Schizosaccharomyces pombe: one gene and its partners. The protein of the gene in region 1 purifies or fractionates together with the protein of each later gene. This does not show direct contact. Each region holds a gene or a part of one and is shown in the gene's direction. Other genes may lie near its edges.

Region 1 (6,424 bases):
CTAAAATTGGGACTATTAAAACTACGATGCCCGACGACCACTCATCTTTCCAGTACCGATTAGCAGATATACCCGGAATTATTAAAGGGGCAAGTGATGGAAAAGGATTGGGTTACGATTTTTTAAGGCATGTAGAACGTGCAAAGATGCTTTGCCTGGTAATTGATATAAACCCAAAGGCTAAAATTCCAGCAGATCAGGCTTTTCAATTGCTTTGGGATGAGCTGAATAAGTACGAAAAAAATTTAATTAATAAGGTAGCTCTCGTAATCGCTAATAAAGCCGATACAGCAGCTGAGCAAGACCTACTTTTGCTTAAGGCTATTGTTGAAAGAACTACGAAAGGGGTAGCTGTTTTGCCGGTCAGTGCAAAGAAGCAAGAAGGGTTGGAAGGATTAGTACGTGGAATGACTCAACTTCTCCAACAACGATTACTCGTATGAGCTGTGATACATAGAATTACCAACAAAATTTGCTTCATTGTTTTTAGAGGAAAAAAGAATTTATTCCAAAAAATTATTAACGCATTTAATCAATATGTAATAAAATGGTGCTTTTTAATTTGTACAACACGTTATCGTTGTATGAGAAATTTGTAAATGATTAACGTTTCCTTTTTTTTCTTTTGCGAACCCTTTGAGTTTTATTATATAAGTAACAATTTAAGAAGGTTGAAACTTTTGTTGGATTACATATAAAAGCCCGCGACGAGAGCTCGATAGCTGTTCTTGAAATCGTTTTAGACTGTACTTTTGAACCCTACGACCAAGACCAAATCTTAAGGGTGAGACAAACTTGGCAATCGTGTCTACTATAGTTTTTGAGCAGTTTTCTGAGCTTTGGATAAATCGACTGTACTCTATTACGCGGAGAATTTTCACATGATCCAAATTGAACGTTTCGGATTTTAATTCCTGCTTTGAGGGATCAATGACAGATCTTTCGAGTATGTAAGACTTGTTAACATTCAAAAGATCCGATGCCCATCTGGGCAGTCTTCCCTGTTTAACAAGTAATCTTTCGGTATATAGTCGACCTTCATCATCCACATATCGCTCGAGTACATCAGCTGAGACTACGTGAAGACTATACGGACTAACTATTGTTAATAAAAGAACATTAACACAATAAAAATGAACCTCATAGTTTATGATCGACGTACTTTGGATATCTAGTGAGCCAAGCTGAAGAGACTGTATTCCAGGAAGCATTTAACTCGGTTTTGTCAGTACATATTGCAGTCATATCAGAAAATCAATCATTTGCTTTTAATTTTTTTTTGAAAAATAAATATGCTAAAAAGCCTTTTAGCCAGTCTTCCCTCAAAATATTTCACCCAAAAAGATTTACTGACGAAAGATTGGTATAATGGACAATTTATTGACTTAATAAATAACGTGATATAAGGTGCTCGTTATTTTCACTTGTGAAAACATCACATGTTAGTATTGTAAAACAGATAATCAGTGGCGATGCTCAAAGAATTTTTTGCATTATATTCAATGATAAATTTTTGATATTCATTCTATAAACTATATGCTCTATGATAAGCGAAGTATTATGGTGCGAGTAGAGGATTGTTCACTCAAATTAAAGTGCGTTGAAGAAAAAAAAAATACCTGTAATTTATTGTAAACACTACCTAAACTGATCGGTCATCTCTGAAAACACCAAACTTCGTTATGAAGATATATCACCCATTTTAAGTGATATTGCTATAGTCACCAAACATAACTAGCACATTGTATTAAATATTTTAGTTTGGTAGTTATATTACACAATCGAGGTACTTGTTAGAAAATTTGAAGTAACAATATTTTGTTAAACATTAAAACAAACGAATCGATTGCGGCAGTCAATAATTAATTATACGACCATCTTAAAAACGAAGTATTAATGAAAAAAAACTGTTGAACCAAACTGAAGGACCTCAATTTGAGAATCCAACACATTCATCCTGAGGTAGACGAAATAAACTTGCAATATAATGAAACCCCAGTTATGTAAGGTATCGTAAACAAATGAAAAATGATCAAATTTTTCTCACTAAGTGTGTATAGCAGTTTTGCTTAACATTTCGACAATAGCTCCAATATTAATAAATCCGAATTATCTTCTTGCATTAAATATAGCGAAAGTTTTCGGTTTGAAACATGCGAAGTTTGGAAAAAGCTTTTTAATGGCTATAATCACTTAATTATGTTTTGTTTTTTGGGTAATTTCATAGTTTGAAATAAATATGACTGTGTAATATACCATTCAGCCAGTTGCGATACATCAATATGGCAATTGAATCCTTTATTATCATACAAATTTCCAAAAAAATAATCAATTAACATACTCATGCAAAATCGTTTGATGTCATATAAAAGCTTTAGCATTGGTAGAAATGTGATTCCAAACCATATCCCTTAAACAATACTTCTCAAAAACAAAGATTAAATTAGGTCAGGAATAAAGAGAGAAGACATAAAAAGAATTCGTGATGCTAGACAATTCAGTATGTAAACATTTAAGTGGAATTTATGTTCAGTCAAAACTCTGAAAAGCAGAGTATATTATAAACACAAAATAGTTTTTTAGAATTATTCAAAATGATTCATGTTAAGGAAAACCTTTGAGATACTTGCTTGGAAAACTGTTTCAATTTGGTAGCGTCCGCTGTAACACACACTCCTTCTTCACCTCGAAAAGTTTAAAACTTCCTACCCACTTTATTTGCTTGTTTGCTAAGAACGAGTTGTTCTATTATATAAAATGCAAACAGAGAATGTGTGTTACAAAATGTCTCTTTTACAATTTATTAACCACGACTATTTATAGCAAGTGAACGATTTGTATCCGATTGCTGTTTTGATTGATGAGTTAAAGGTTGGTAACAAATTGTTTTACGTCTGATATGTTCAACTCTGACTATTGTTAAAGCATGATGAAATTACTTATAGGCTCAATGCTTTGGAACGGTTATCGACAATTGCTCTCGCTTTAGGTCCTGAACGTACAAGGGATGAGTTGATTCCCTTTTTAGATGGTATGCATTCAATAATAAAATTATGGAACTATAGGTTTAAATTTTTAAAATTCTTTATATTTTTTAATAAACGATGTATGTTTGTCGGCTAACATTCCTTGAATACAGAATCGATTGACGATGAGGACGAAGTCCTATCAGCTCTCGCCGACCAGTTAGGAAATTTTGTAGATTATGTTGGAGGCCCTGAGTATGCGCATGTCCTTTTGTCTCCCCTTGAAAATCTTGCTGCAACTGAAGAAACGGTAGTCCGCGATAAAGCCGTTGACTCTCTCAATAAAGTATGTATTTGCCTATCCCAAGAACAATTAGAGCAATATTTTGTTCCATTGGTTCAACGTCTTTCAACCGCTGAGTGGTTTACCTCTCGTGCGTCCTCTGCTGGGCTTTACTGCGCGGCATATTCTCAGTCAGAAAATCCTGCTGTCAAAGTCTCTCTTCGTCAAAGTTTTAGTCATCTATGTCACGACGAAGCTCCCATGGTCCGTCGTCCTGCAGCAACGAACTGTGCCAAGTTTGTTTTTTTGGTAACTAAACAGGAGGCTATTGACGAATTCATTCCATTGTTCAACTCCCTTTCTAATGATGACCAAGACTCAGTTCGGCTCCTTTCTTTCGACATTATGGTTTCTTTGGCGGAGGTATTAAAATCTGACTCGGAAATTCGTCACTATTTGCTTCAACCATTAAGGTCTTTTGTTTCGGATAGCAGCTGGAGAACACGTTATATGGTTGCTGCTAATTTTGTAAAACTTGCTAAAGTAGTTGGACCATCTCTTATTAAAGATGAACTTATTAAACCATTCGTACTGCTCATGAAGGATACCGAGCAGGAAGTCCGCCGTGCTATTGCTACTCAAATACCAGGATTTTGCGAATTGTTGGATAAGCGAATTGTTCTTGAAGAGATTATTCCAGTTATTCAAGAGTTAATTAATGATCCCGCTCAACATGTCCGTGCTGCTTTAGGGATGAACATAGGTGCTCTCGCCCCACAATTAGGAAAGGAAAAGTATGTCTGCTAAAAATAACTTTTCTTTTAAAAACCTCATTTTACTAATCGTTATATTTAGGACTACAGAGTATCTTTTACCAATGTTTTTGGAATTACTTAAAGATGAAAACCCTGAAGTTCGTCTTAACATTATTTCGAAATTGGAAGTTGTAAACAAAGGTAAATTGCAAATTCAAAATATAGCTATTGCTACAGTTATACTAACTCACTTTAGTCGTTGGTATCGAATTACTTTCACAATCTTTATTGCCTGCAATTGTTACACTTGCTGAAGATAAACAATGGCGTGTTCGTCTTGCTATCATTGACTACATTCCACTACTTGCTCAGCAGCTTGGGGTCGAATTTTTTAATGAGAAAATGGGCAATTTATGTATGTCATGGTTAGAGGACCATGTATATTCTATTCGTGAAGCTGCGATAAAGAATTTGCGAAAACTTACGGAAATTTTTGGGTTGGAATGGGCAACTGAGACAATTATTCCAAAGTTTTTGGCTATGCGAAGCCATCCAAATTATTTATACCGAATGACAACTATTTTTGCGATCAGTGTAAGTTTTTCTTTTTTGCTTTTTTCCAGTTCTAACGTATTTTAGGAAATCGCACCTGCATTGAATGCTGAAGTAATTGAAAAACAAATTCTTCCAACTTTGGAACAGTTGGTTAATGACCCTATTCCTAATATTCGCTTTAACGTTGCCAAGGCGTTTGAAGTTCTTAAGCCTGTTTTGGCAGCTGGTGGTGACTCGACCGTATATGAACAGCAAATCATCCCATTGCTCGAACAACTTACAAAAGATAATGACCCTGATGTTCAATATTTTGCTACTCAGGCCTTAGAGCAAACAAATGACTAATTGTTGGGTTATATGATTGCATGTCTAAATGAGCCAAAAGTTTTACCTTTATGATTTGTGTTCACTATGTAAAAATGCAAAAGAATGGACTGTCTTGACTCTGGCCATTCGTTCGACATCAAGTGTCAAGCCCTACATCTAATTCAAAGCATCGTATTGACACACAGTAAATTAGATATACAAGATATACACGATATGGCAAAATTGGAGCCGAATGCATCAAGAAAGCTGGCATCAACCGTAATTACTTACGAAAAGTGTAATTTTGAATGAAAACTTATATTTACATCTGGAGAGATTCAAACAATTTAAGCAGCTGAGATATAAGGTCATTTGCATGAGATAACAAATGGTTGTTAATCATATTCATAAATATACGAATATAGAAGGATATCTCTATTTCCGTATGCTAAACGATATGTGTAGAAATTCCTGCGAGTATCGAAAAGTCCAGTTATCTGTATTCAGGAACATATTGCTTCATAGTCCCAAGTGTATCAGATGGAAAAGCTGAACGAAAGTAAACTATTGAAGACATAAAATTGAAATAAAGGTGTAAATAATAAAGGAGAAACATATGCCGGGTAAATTATGCAAACTATGTAGATTTAATTAATTGGCAAGAATCATTTGAACGAAATCTAAAGGAAGCAGTTAGTATAATTAAGTATAGGTAGTTGATTGCCGAAGCCCAGAGTAGTAATAGAGCATACCGTGATAATTAACCATGCCATCTTTTACGGGAACACCCTTTAATAACTCGTCCATTTCTTCGTTGCTGAGTTTTTCACCCAAAGAAGTTAAAACTGATACAATTAGTTTCGCATTTTTTTATCAATCTGAAAAAAGGATAGATCTCTATAAATACATACCATAGCGCAATTCACCCACTCCAATCATGCCAGTGGCATCTTTATCAAACACCTGGAAGCCCTTCACGAATTCCTCTGGGTCACCAGGCATATCAAACCCATTGGGACGATTTAACACTTGAAGGAATTGTTCCATATCGACTACCAATTAGTATTGTCACTTAATGCACGGCTAAGGAGTATAACTCTCCAAACCCATAACAAGAAATCATACCTTCTGCGGGCAAAGTAGATTCAATTTCAGTAATCTCAGCCAGCGTAGGATTTTGTCCACACGCTCTTAAAAGATCACCAATGGACGTTTTGGGGATGCGACCAGTTCCATGGCGGTCAAATAAAGAAAAAGCTATCTTTTCGTTAATAAACATTTTGAAATGATTTCAAAAAGTAGTTATTACCTTGTTTATAAGGTGAATCGTCTGTCGACATGTTTGACTATTCTAAATGGATTGTTAGGATGAAGGTAAGTGTACTAAGTCGACTGTAATCTGTGTACACGCACCTATAAGCCCCATAGCAACCGTTGCCATGATAATGTTTACTGTATAGCGATCTGTTTAGTAATTTACTAAAGAACGTAGAGCTATGTAAACCAGCTTATATGAACAGAATTGTCATTTACTTTGCCAGATTTTAATTTAGAACATC
Region 2 (5,130 bases), on another chromosome or scaffold:
AAAGATAGAGTGGATAGATGAATGATGAATGGATGAATAGGTGAATGAAGTGGAATATGTATTTCTATAAAGAATGCTAGGAGTAAAGGAATGAAATAGAAAGGATTGGGTAAGAAAAAGTGTGTGTATGTATGAGTGTATTAGTGAATGAGATTCTGTGCAAACGAAAAAGTAGGATAATAAACTTAATGGATGGAAAATCAATTACACAAACTATGCTGTCTACTTAAAAAAATAAATAAATAAATAAAACCTACAACTCGACAAACCATGCTATCAAATATAAAAAGTCTACAGGCTGTACCACATAATGTGTTTATATATGTGTATATTGTGCTATGAGATGTACTTGTACATAGCTGTAGTTACAACTTGGATATACGTGCTATACCTATTATTTAGTAGAGCGTGCAAGTAAACATATTATACCCTAGTCTTTTAACTCTCTCTATATATTCGTTACGACGACGCTTTGTCTATATGTTATCCTCGATGTGTTACGATGTTACAAGTTACACTGCGTTATGCTACTTATCCAGCGTCTGCAGTCTTACTCTTTCTCTCTCTCTCTCCATTTCCCTCTGCTCTCCCTTTCATTTCACAAGCCCACGTTAACCTCACATAGCCCGCTTACAGTGCATTGCCCTACATCGTTATATCGATGCGTTGCGTTGCCAAAGAGGCGAGGAACAATATTCGTCAAGATTTTGCTTATCTCTAACAACAAGAGTTTATCCGTTCCAACCATTTCCCTGCGGTAATCCAATTGTTATCCGTAGCGAAGGGTTCAAGTGCCGCTGACATCAACCGAGCCCATCTAGGTAACGAGGTATATCGGTCATCGTGTCGGGGTTGCTAAATAGGAATGGTTGCCTTGCAAATCGTTACCTGACCAGAGCTGCAGCGAAAACGTAAACAAAGCGTATGTACGAAGGAAGAAATTGGATGGAAAAAATGAATCGACAAAACAAGGCAAAGCGCAACTCCAAGCAAAGTGACACATGACCGAGCATGAAAACGCAATCCAATGCAATGCCACACATACACTCAGAGATGCAATGCCACGACGATGGAATGGACAATGCAGACCAACGATTTTGAGCAGAGAAATATTAGCTTGACATGATGTGAGATGGGTGGAGATGTGGAATGGAATGGAATGAATGGATGGACATGAAATGAAATTTACCAAGTAAACAAGAGAGTTAATAATAGTAAGAATGATTTGTCTCCTAGTCTCAGCAATAGCAACACTTGACAGTGACTGCAGTCTCATACTCTTCTAGTCAAGTCTCATCCTCTTCCACTCTCTCAATTCCTTTTTATCAATGTTTCTTCCTCTTGTTATGTACACAAACGATGATCTCTTCTCTCACCTCATTGCTGGACTAATATTACTCGTGGCCAAGCGAAACACAAGTGGTACTAGATAACCAAAAAATGATAAAGCATTCAATCAATCAAACCACTTACGAAATTCATACTCCCGTAAACGAATGCCGGTCGGACGCATGGAAAATCATCAATACGTGAGAGAGCTACTTAGTTGTGCACTTTGTATATGTCCAAAAATACTTTTCATTTCACATACCTGCTTGTGTAAAGACAGTGATGAAATGCGGTGCAAAGTGTCTATTCTTACATTGATGGTAAAGCTAATTCAAGCATGCTTGGAAGAAGAATTGCCTTGCATTTCTTGATCATTTGACCCAGGCGACAACTATAAAATAAGAATACTACCGAAGATGCAGATGGGGTGTGTGGGCACAACACCATCGAACCGAACCGAGACGGCCAGACTGTGATAACAAAAGAAATGCATTAGTTTAGTTGGCTGGTTCAAGTTGGTTGAGTAGAAAAATCCATCACTCAAACTGGGAAGTAGGGATGGCTGGGAGAATGGAGAAGCGAGACGAGACGAGACAAGACAAGAGGAGATGAAATGAAATTAATGAAAAGAAATGAATAGAAATGAAATAGACATATGAATAGTATAGGGCAGGTTAGATGTTTGTATTTATAAATGTTTAATGCTTAGGTTTGTATTTATGTTTACGTTGGTAATGTTTCTTTTGTTTGTGTTTGTGCATCGGGTGAACGAGTTGGTTACCGCCGCCGCCGCTTCCTTTTGCCTTGACACACACCACGCAACGTGTTACGGTTCTTGAACGGAATTGCGTACTTCGATGCAGAGCGCTATCGGGGGGATTGGGGATGGTAAATGGAAGAAATCAAAAACTTCTTTTGACGTCAACCCCTAAAACAGGGGACGGTGATTGGTGGTAACCACGGACCGGATAGGTATCGATATGCACATCAGGTGAGAAGTTTTTCCGAGGCCAACTCCGGCTCCATGGTATATAATAGAGGGTTGCGCGCTACTGTTGCAGTATCATACTTCCAAAGGTCGTATAGAACACACACACAAATTAGCAAAATGGGAATTCTCGATATTGTACCTACTGGTGTTATTACAGGTGACAACGTTTTAAAGTTGTTCACCTACGCTCGTGAGCACGGATTCGCCATCCCTGCCATTAACGTCACCTCCTCCTCCACTGCTATTGCTGCTCTTGAGGCTGCTCGTGAGGCTCGTTCCCCCATCATCTTGCAAACCTCCAACGGTGGTGCTCACTTCTTTGCTGGTAAGGAATCCTCCAACGAGGGCCAAAAGGCCTCCATTGCCGGTTCCATCGCCGCTGCCCACTACATCCGTTCCATCGCTCCTTTCTTCGGTGTCCCCGTCGTCATGCACTCTGACCACTGCGCCAAGAAGCTTCTCCCCTGGATGGACGGTATGTTCGAAGCCGATGAGGCCTACTTCAAGATTCACGGTGAGCCTCTTTTCTCTTCTCACATGCTTGACTTGTCCGAGGAGCCCAAGAAGGAGAACATTGCTCAAGTTAAGGAGTACTGCAAGCGTGCCGTTCCCATGAAGATCTGGATCGAGATGGAGATCGGTATCACTGGTGGTGAGGAAGACGGTGTCGACAACTCTCACGTCTCCCACACCGAGCTCTACACTCAACCCGAGGACATCTGGGATGTCTACCGTGAGCTCTCCTCCGTTACCCCTTACTTCTCCATTGCCGCCGCTTTCGGTAACGTCCACGGTGTCTACAAGCCCGGTAACGTCAAGCTCCAACCCGCTCTTTTGGGTCAACACCAAGCCTATGTTAAGGAGCAACTCAAGACCACCAACGACAAGCCCGTTTTCTTCGTCTTCCACGGTGGTTCCGGTTCCTCTGTCAACGAGTTCCGTACTGGTATCAAGTGCGGTGTCGTCAAGGTCAACATTGACACTGATACCCAATTCGCCTACGTCGAGGGTGTCCGTGACTATGTCTTGAAGTACAAGGACTACCTTATGACCCCCGTCGGTAACCCCGAGGGAGCTGACAAGCCCAACAAGAAGAAGTTCGACCCTCGTGTCTGGATCCATGAGGGTGAGAAGACCATGACCAAGCGTGTTCTTACCGCTCTTGAGGACTTCTACACTGTCAACACTCTCTAAATTTGTGGTTTTTGAAAGATGGAAATGATTGAATAGACGGTGGGCTTCATTAAAATTATATTTTTTTGTCCCCTTAATGAGAGTTCATACTGTTTTGAAATTACGTGTTTGAATATAGAGACATTGTTTTTTAAAATTACCATTGTAAAAGCATAAGAGATATTTGAAGTAAAGTAGGGCAAAGTAAGTTAAGAAATTTTTTTGGATTGGATTTGTAAAGTGTTTTTCAAGCATACTGTATATTGTTAAGATTTTTCTTTTTATCCTTTTATTCATCTTCCTTAATTGGTTAATGTGTTCTTAGGTATATAAATTTACAAAAAAAAAATTTCCGATTCCACATGACAATGAATGAATAAATAATATGTCCGTGCGTTTATTTGAATTTAATATATATCGTTTGGCAAATCTCGATGAGTAGCTTAAAACAACATAATCGCTTGAATTTCATGTGCTTTGTGTACACAGTGTGCATTGTTTAGTAGATCAACTTTTTCTTCTTTCATTGCAATGAGTACGGGCATTTTCCCTTTTCCTCCATATTTCACGAATCCATGTTTTTTTTAGATAACCCTTTCTCAATCAAAACTCAGCATGCTTCTTCAGACTTGACCACTTATATTGTCAGTACACTACTGCTCCTTAAAAGCTTACTCCAAGTCAAGACATCAAGGTTGGAGCAATCATTCTCTTCATGAGGTACTATGGCTGATTTTCTTGCTAGAGATTATCGCTCTCAAGGTGAGGCGGCGCATGAAATGCTGCCGACTTTCCTTATAGGAAAAATCTTGAGAGAACGCATAGTAGATTCTATTTACTGGAAAGAACAATGTTTTGGATTGAATGGTATGTGTTCTTCATTGACAGAAAAGGAAAGTGTTTTTACATATTAGAGTTCAAGTACGATTACTTTCCAAATCGATATTTTGAGTGATATAGCCTAAATGAACTTGATTTGGCAAGCAAAGAAACCAAGTATAGGTACTTGCTGTTTTAATCAGTCCTCAAACTGTTATTCCAAATTCACTGACTAATACATCTTAGCTTGTTCATTGGTGGATCGTGCAGTACGGCTTGAATATATAGGTGGTCAGTATGGAAATCAACGGCCCACCGAGTTTATCTGTTTGTTATACAAGCTTTTACAAATTGCACCTGAAAAAGAAATAATTCAACAGTACCTATCTATTCCTGAATTCAAGTATTTACGTGCCCTGGCTGCATTTTACGTTCGGCTTACATGGGATGATGTGGAAGTGCATCAAACGTTGGAACCGCTGTTAAGAGATTATCGGAAATTAAGAATTCGTACTAATTCTGAGATCCGATTAACATATCTGGATGAGGTTGTTGATGATTTGCTAAATGCCGAAGTAGTTTGCGATATTTCCCTGCCCCCATTGCGAAGTCGACTCCAACTTGAAGATTTGGACTTGCTTGAACCACTTTCATCTTCTTCAGACGAAGAAGATGATGATGAAGAACAAATTAGTAAATTGGAGAGCAATGAAGGTGCTGTAGATCGGAATATTTAAGGATAAGTAATATACAAAAAAAGAGTAAAGCGAAGCACGCATTTTGTGATGCGTCTACGATTTAACTTGGAATGACTCTAC
Region 3 (7,347 bases), on another chromosome or scaffold:
AGAGCGTTAAGCCCTCTAAAAAGAATGGAACTAAAAATGGAAAAGATAAAGAAGTCGATGGAGTCACAAAAGATTTGTCGGAACTTTCTACTAGCGACCCTATTTTTGAAAGAAGTGCTTCTGGTGTCTTAACTAGTCAACCAATGAGTCGCGATATTAAAATTGACAGTTACACCCTTTCTTTTCACGGACGTCTGTTGATAGAGAATGCCACTATCGAACTCAACCATGGTCAACGCTATGGTCTTTTGGGTGATAACGGTTCCGGTAAAAGTACATTCTTGGAATCCGTGGCTGCTCGTGATGTGGAATATCCAGAACACATTGATAGCTACTTGTTGAACGCAGAGGCTGAACCCTCTGATGTTAATGCTGTCGACTATATTATTCAGTCAGCAAAAGACAAGGTTCAAAAATTGGAAGCCGAAATTGAAGAGTTATCAACTGCCGATGATGTTGATGATGTTCTATTAGAATCCAAGTATGAAGAGTTGGATGATATGGATCCTAGCACCTTTGAGGCAAAAGCAGCTATGATTTTGCATGGTTTGGGATTTACCCAGGAAATGATGGCCAAACCCACAAAGGACATGTCTGGTGGTTGGCGTATGCGTGTTGCACTTTCTCGTGCTCTTTTCATCAAACCCTCTTTGCTTCTTTTGGACGAACCTACCAACCATTTGGACTTAGAAGCCGTTGTTTGGTTGGAGAATTACTTAGCGAAATACGACAAAATTCTTGTTGTCACTTCCCACTCTCAAGATTTCCTCAACAACGTCTGTACCAATATTATTGATTTAACTTCTAAAAAGCAGCTTGTCTACTATGGTGGTAATTTCGACATTTATATGCGTACTAAGGAAGAAAATGAAACCAATCAGATGAAGGCTTACTTAAAACAGCAAGAGGAAATTGCTCATATTAAAAAGTTTATTGCTAGTGCTGGTACCTATGCAAACTTGGTACGCCAAGCCAAGTCGAAACAAAAGATTATCGATAAAATGGAGGCTGCCGGTTTAGTTGAGAAGCCCGAACCTCCTCGTCAATTCAGCTTTGAATTTGATGAAGTTCGCAAATTACCACCACCTATCATTGCTTTTAACGACGTTGCTTTCTCTTATGATGGTAATCTTGATCACGCTTTGTACCGTGACTTGTCCTTTGGTATCGATATGGACTCCCGTGTCGCCATTGTGGGTAAAAATGGTACCGGAAAGTCTACATTGTTGAACTTAATCACTGGGCTTTTGATTCCCATTGAAGGCAATGTCTCTCGTTACAGTGGATTGAAGATGGCTAAATACTCTCAGCACAGTGCCGATCAGCTTCCCTATGACAAGTCTCCACTTGAATACATCATGGATACTTACAAGCCTAAATTTCCCGAGAGAGAACTTCAGCAATGGCGCAGCGTTTTGGGCAAATTCGGTTTGTCTGGTCTTCACCAAACCAGTGAAATCCGTACTTTATCTGATGGCTTGAAAAGCCGTGTTGTGTTTGCAGCACTCGCTTTGGAACAACCCCACATTCTTTTACTTGATGAACCTACGAATCACTTGGATATTACCTCTATTGATGCCCTAGCCAAAGCCATTAACGTATGGACTGGTGGTGTTGTTTTGGTTTCTCACGATTTCCGTCTAATTGGTCAAGTTTCTAAAGAGTTGTGGGAAGTTAAAGACAAGAAGGTTGTGAAATTGGACTGCTCCATTGAGGAATATAAGAAGTCGATGGCCAAAGAAGTTCAATCTCGTGATACTACTGCCAAAGTTAAGCATTTGATTTAGTTAATTTATAGATTTTTGGTTAGGGAATATGTGATACATTTTGAGTAGTGGGATTAATATAAAATGTTTATTACTTATTTGAAAGTGTTTAAGAAGCGTATTGCTTTTGGTCTCATCGTTGTAATTGTCAAGCTCTATCATTGAGTGAAGCTATTAAGCCAAAATTTCATCTCTGTGTACTGTTCAAGAATTGTCGTTAAGTCCGATTTAGAGTGGAATTATCTTTTTCCACCGACTATAGGTAAACTGTACTTCTCAGCATTTATGCGTGAAACTTTATACAGCATCGGTTTTGAAAACTATGTACGCTTCTTCTCGAAAAGACTAATAATAACCCATTCTATTAAAAAATGCCAGTGAGCTCGTAATTTCTCTAGTACCTTAGAAAACGCTACACAGCAATCTCGTGAATTCACATAGTAAGCGCAAACTGTTGAGAAAAATCCAGGTTAGTAATCAATAAATAAGAAATGCAAATATTCTATATTATTAATTGTATACCAGATCGCTATGCTGTTTACACATAAAGTCGATTTGCCATAGCTTGTTAGCAAGCTGATGATACGCAAGAGTAGCCTGTCACCTCTGTAACGGTCTCAACTTACCAAAAGCAACACACGGTTAGAAAGACTTATAACTTGCTTTTTACTATATACAAAATTCCATAATTAATGTCTATAGATCCAGCAAATGATAGTAAGCTTGCTCCGGAGGCGAATGACGCTACTCTAGGAGACGTTGACAGATGGATCGAACAGTTGAAAAAATGCGAGCCTCTGAGCGAAGCTGACGTTGAAATGTTATGCGATAAGGTAAGTGAACACTAAGGAGAGTATATATGTGTATCAGGCTTGGTTGGATATATCCCAACTTTGCAAGTTCTCATTTTCTCTTGATTTCTTGAGATTGTTCAGTTTGATATGTTTGAGTTTGAACTATCCAGCTTATTTCGGTTTGATTTCTAAAAAGATTAATATTACATTAATGTCGGGTTTCTAGAAATCTCATCCTATAAATATATGGTGGTTAAAAATTACGTCGGAGACTCTCATCTATACCAGCATTTTTCGTGTTTTCGCAGTTTTTGCTAACCATTTTTTCTAGGCTCGTGAGGTTTTATGTCAGGAAAATAATGTCCAACCTGTCCGAAATCCAGTTACTGTTTGCGGTGATATTCATGGACAGTTTCATGATCTGATGGAATTATTTAAAATTGGAGGTGATGTGCCTGATATGAACTATCTTTTTATGGGTGACTATGTTGACAGAGGTTATCACAGCGTCGAAACTGTAAGTTTGCTTGTTGCAATGAAGTTACGCTACCCTAACCGAATTACGATTCTTCGAGGAAATCATGAATCTAGACAAATCACTCAAGTTTACGGATTTTATGATGAATGTTTGCGTAAATATGGATCCGCTAATGTTTGGAAACATTTCACAAATTTATTTGACTATTTCCCTTTAACTGCTTTAATTGAAGACCGTATTTTCTGCCTACATGGAGGTCTTTCCCCGAGCATTGATTCATTAGACCATGTACGGACTTTGGATCGTGTACAAGAAGTTCCCCATGAAGGTCCGATGTGTGATTTGCTTTGGTCAGACCCTGATGATAGATGTGGTTGGGGAATTTCTCCTCGTGGTGCCGGATACACCTTCGGACAAGACATTTCTGAGACATTTAATCACGCAAATGGATTAAGTTTAACGGCACGAGCCCATCAGCTAGTTATGGAAGGATTTAATTGGGCACATGATGGAGACGTAGTTACAATTTTTTCTGCCCCAAATTATTGTTATCGCTGTGGTAATCAAGCAGCTATTTTGGAAGTTGATGATACGATGAATCAAGTCTTTTTACAATTCGATCCTGCCCCACGAGAAGGCGAACCGGTAATAGCTCGAAGGACACCAGACTACTTCCTTTAAAAGTTTCAATTCTCTAATGAGTGATCAATCGATTGTGATTGTTTCAAAAAATTTATCCACCTTTCTGATTTTTGAGTTAATACTCAAGATTAAAAAGACTACTTTGTACATCCTCCGCATACGAATCTTCAGACTGTCTTTTCATTTCCAGGACTTGTCAAGTACCTTTTTTGCAAGGAAATCTTAAAATCCTTATATGTATTCCACTTCAAGCCATTGCAACCGTGTCTTATACGTACGTGAAATATTCTTGTTAATTTTGATAAGCACACTAGGATTTTTGGTTGTGGACTTATTTCTTCGAGAAATATCTGCTATTTAATATGTCGTGATAGCGATTAACGACTGCTGCATAGTTGGATGGTATTGTTTTGAGACAATATTATGAGTTAGAATTAGGCATGCTTAAGCAGTCATGTGCTGTAATGAATTAAACATCCTAAAGCTTTATGACCAAACTTTTTAAGCCAGCTTCATGATTCCATATTTGTAGAAGTTTGTCTATAAAGAACTTTTAAAGAAAAAAAATGGTTTATTTGTCTAGATATTTATTTATTATTGATACTTGTCAGATAAACCTACAATAACTACATATTTGAATTGTACAACTTTTTTATTCAAGTATAAGGGGATACTTTTGCATTTCACAAACCTTGAAGGCAAGAAGAGTACTCAAGGATTATATATATTTTTAGCGGTTTAAGAAACTACCACCAAAGGGAAAGTAAAGTTACATTAGACTACGATAAAATAAGAACCATCTGACTTGCATGAATCAGGCGTCACATACAAAATTATTGATTTACGTCTTGGAATAAGAGATTCAAGGTTGCATTAATTGAGAATGAGAAGGGGGTTTGTATCAGTAAATGACTATAACAAGAAAAAGGAAGTCTGCAATTGCCATCTTGACTGCTGTATAAGCCAAATGGACCAACAAAGGCTATGAGAAAGTGCATTGGACAAATAAAAATAAGAAGCAAGTAAGACAGCATATGACTTGATCCCCAACAGGCTAAAGAAGAAGTAAAAGAGAGGGGAGAAAAAGGAGGGAGGAAATCAGCTAGGACAAAAGTTTTTGAGCGAAATAAATTTTATCCGATGATAATTTTGCTTCCTTCAAACGTATAAGCAGGAATCGCCAAGTTAAGAGGTGCAGGACCACGGCGAATACGACCAGAGATATCATAATGAGAACCGTGACAAGGGCAGAACCATCCGCCATAGTCACCAGCTTCGCCAATGGGTACACAACCAAGATGAGTACAGACACCAATCATAACAAGCCACTCGGGTTTTTGAACACGGTCAGAGTCCGCTTGAGGATCCCTAAGAGTGCTAATATCTACAGAATTGGCTTCTTGGATTTCTTCAGGAGTACGATGACGGATAAAAACAGGCTTACCCTGCCATTTGACGACAAGGTTCTTTCCCTCTGGAATTTTCGACAAATCAACCTCGGCCTTCGACATAGCCAACACATCAGCAGATGCAGACCAACTCGCCAAGAAATCATGAACAGTAGCTTGAGCTCCAGCGGCTGTAAGAGCACCCATTGTGCCTACCATGGCATAAGATATAACACGAGAACGATCACCAGTGCTCTTTGTTTGATACTCCGAAAAGTCTGGCATTTCCGGAGAGTCAGTATATGTACGAATAGAGGTAAATTTTGGGATGGTCATCATTGAGCCCTTCAACGACGAAGCAGTGCTTGAAACGGGAAGCAACCGTCTTAACGAAGATGCTAACGACTTAGAAATAAATTGCTTGGCCAGCATTTTTACAACGTTTTAAAGAGAAACAGGTTGTTGAAATATTCGGTGGGTAGCGGTTGGGGAAGAAACGTCAAGCTGCCTCTGGTTTAAAAATGGCGGCGTTTGTGGGTGCTGTGATTTGCTAAGAAGGTTAGTTGTATTTACCGAATTCACCGATTGATGAAACTACATATCCGAAGTTCTCCGAAAAATAACGAAGTACACAATAAAAAATTAACATAATTTTACAGCTACTTTTAACGATCAGTACAGTATAGTGCTAGACTGTGCAGTACATATATCATCACGAATCGAAAATCCTATATCTTTCAAATTCCAATATTATGGTACGCTAGAGATCATTTTGTTTTATCAGATATAATTTTCCAGTCTATTTTACTAGGTTCCGTATAAGAACATAGCTGGATTTACGTTCTTCCGTCCAGCTATAAACTATTTGGAGATTATAATATTATCCAATATTTAGATGTTTACAGTAGTATCATTCATCACTTTACAAGGTACAGCACCTGCATAAAACAATACAACAGTATTAGATTGAAAATTATCGTATTCTTTCACTAGCCTTAATTATTTTAAGGAATTGGTATATATCATTAATCATAGTTCAATGTAGAAGAAATGCAATATACTTATGTATAATGTATTCATGAAGATTGGTGACATTTATTGAATATTAAGCGTATCCTTCATTAATATGCAGGAAATTTTTCTACTCTATTGAACATCATCAATTCATAAAACGTTCTATCCTCGTATTGGTGTTGCCGGCCAATATTTGATAGGTAATGCAGTAAACTTGCGAAAAATATTATCAAGTATTTTTTCTTCCTCTAAAATTTCATAAGCCGAGTAATGGAACTGGTTTTGATATATTTCGATATCTTTCAATTCTTTTAATGAGATTGGTGTTTTTGGGTTGGTTTCTGGTTTGGAAGAAACCATTCTCTCCTTGTCCAGTGCTTTTTGTCTTAATTCTTTTTCTTTTAACAATTGCTCCTTCTCCTTTTTCCACATTAACTCCCTTTTTTCCGATTCACGGAACCAAAGAATTTGCTCATCTGTTAACGTTCGTATAGTCCCATCAGGATAGCGCTCTACACTTTGTGTATACTCAACGTTTGCACTTTCTGAATTTCCCCCACGATCGTTTTGCGCGAAAGCAACATTCCATAGGTTTACTGCTTTTGCATTAAAATGCTCATCATGGAATTTCTGTAAGTCTCCTTCTGTAATTTCAGAACTCATTAAAAGTTCCGTGGTTTTACACAATATTGGATTCAGTAAGGATTACTTTGCTAGTTGTAACAAGTTGCGATGAAATCAATTTGATGAACGAGCAAAGCTACGCTAGAACATTTAATGAATCACCCAAATTAAAATACTGTATCGTAGTGAATTTGATAACCCAATTAAAGCAAAACAAGGTAATACGTTAGGATTATACTAACAACGCAAACTTACAAGATGAGTAGTTTCTTTAAGAATTTAGCGATCCTTAATATTTGATGTACTTTATGGAATGGCCGTAAGTATATTTTTCTTGCTCCCTTCGACTAATCTCTCAGACTTTGACCAACTTGGAGCCTTTGGCAACGTATGTTTTTCAGATTTCCAGTTACTTTTACTAACATTATAGGGGGACTGTCATCCTTAAAACTACTCGCGGCGATATCCAGATAGAACTTTGGTGCAAAGAAGTGCCGAAGGCCTGTAGAAACTTTATACAGTTATGCTTGGAAGGGTAAGTTAAATCGTTGATGAGCAACGTTGTAGTCCCAAATGTTGCAACATTAAACTGCTTCGGGTTTACAAATATACTAATTAAATACAGTTATTACGATGGAACC

What was found.
Region 2: the proteins of paa1 (region 1) and fba1 purify together in Schizosaccharomyces pombe (affinity purification with mass spectrometry, with the first as the bait; 3 studies listed by BioGRID). This does not show direct contact.
Region 3: the proteins of paa1 (region 1) and ppa2 purify together in Schizosaccharomyces pombe (affinity purification with mass spectrometry, with the first as the bait; 3 studies listed by BioGRID). This does not show direct contact.

Annotation. Positions count from the first base shown.
Region 1 is NC_003424.3:5,328,999-5,335,422, reverse strand, and holds paa1 (serine/threonine protein phosphatase PP2A scaffold subunit Paa1), read left to right. Parts: upstream 1-2,683; 5' UTR 2,684-2,757; coding exon 2,758-2,772; exon of another isoform or gene 2,773-2,823; coding exon 2,824-2,871; exon of another isoform or gene 2,872-2,925; coding exon 2,926-3,031; exon of another isoform or gene 3,032-3,043; intron 3,044-3,139; coding exon 3,140-4,043; exon of another isoform or gene 4,044-4,104; coding exon 4,105-4,205; intron 4,206-4,260; coding exon 4,261-4,598; exon of another isoform or gene 4,599-4,643; coding exon 4,644-4,904; 3' UTR 4,905-5,327; downstream 5,328-6,424. Other genes in the region: GTPase Mtg2, read left to right, coding at 1-443; phosphatidic acid transfer protein Ups1, read right to left, coding at 663-1,095, 1,163-1,245; myosin II light chain cdc4, read right to left, coding at 5,517-5,545, 5,618-5,710, 5,777-5,917, 5,991-6,122, 6,175-6,205. UniProt on the Schizosaccharomyces pombe protein: Phosphatase 2A affects a variety of biological processes in the cell such as transcription, cell cycle progression and cellular morphogenesis, and provides an initial identification of critical substrates for this phosphatase.
Region 2 is NC_003423.3:1,685,930-1,691,059, forward strand, and holds fba1 (fructose-bisphosphate aldolase Fba1), read left to right. Parts: upstream 1-2,391; 5' UTR 2,392-2,437; coding exon 2,438-3,514; 3' UTR 3,515-3,670; downstream 3,671-5,130. Other genes in the region: protein mug124, read right to left, coding at 839-1,276; U4/U5/U6 small nuclear ribonucleoprotein complex subunit PRP38, read left to right, coding at 4,219-4,360, 4,559-5,049. UniProt on the Schizosaccharomyces pombe protein: Catalyzes the aldol condensation of dihydroxyacetone phosphate (DHAP or glycerone-phosphate) with glyceraldehyde 3-phosphate (G3P) to form fructose 1,6-bisphosphate (FBP) in gluconeogenesis and the reverse reaction in glycolysis.
Region 3 is NC_003423.3:2,284,559-2,291,905, forward strand, and holds ppa2 (serine/threonine protein phosphatase PP2A catalytic subunit Ppa2), read left to right. Parts: upstream 1-2,393; 5' UTR 2,394-2,458; coding exon 2,459-2,599; exon of another isoform or gene 2,600-2,760; intron 2,761-2,891; coding exon 2,892-3,719; 3' UTR 3,720-4,813; coding exon of another isoform or gene 4,814-5,500; 3' UTR 5,501-5,887; downstream 5,888-7,347. Other genes in the region: SPOM_SPBC16H5.08C (ATP-binding cassette sub-family F protein), read left to right, coding at 1-1,787; Rieske iron-sulfur protein, ubiquinol-cytochrome-c reductase complex subunit 5, Rip1, read right to left, coding at 4,814-5,500; protein gem8, read right to left, coding at 6,245-6,745; cyclophilin family peptidyl-prolyl cis-trans isomerase Cyp7, read left to right, coding at 7,020-7,025, 7,066-7,094, 7,137-7,241, 7,332-7,347. UniProt on the Schizosaccharomyces pombe protein: Essential role in cell cycle control. PP2A may be involved in controlling the entry into mitosis, possibly acting as an inhibitor.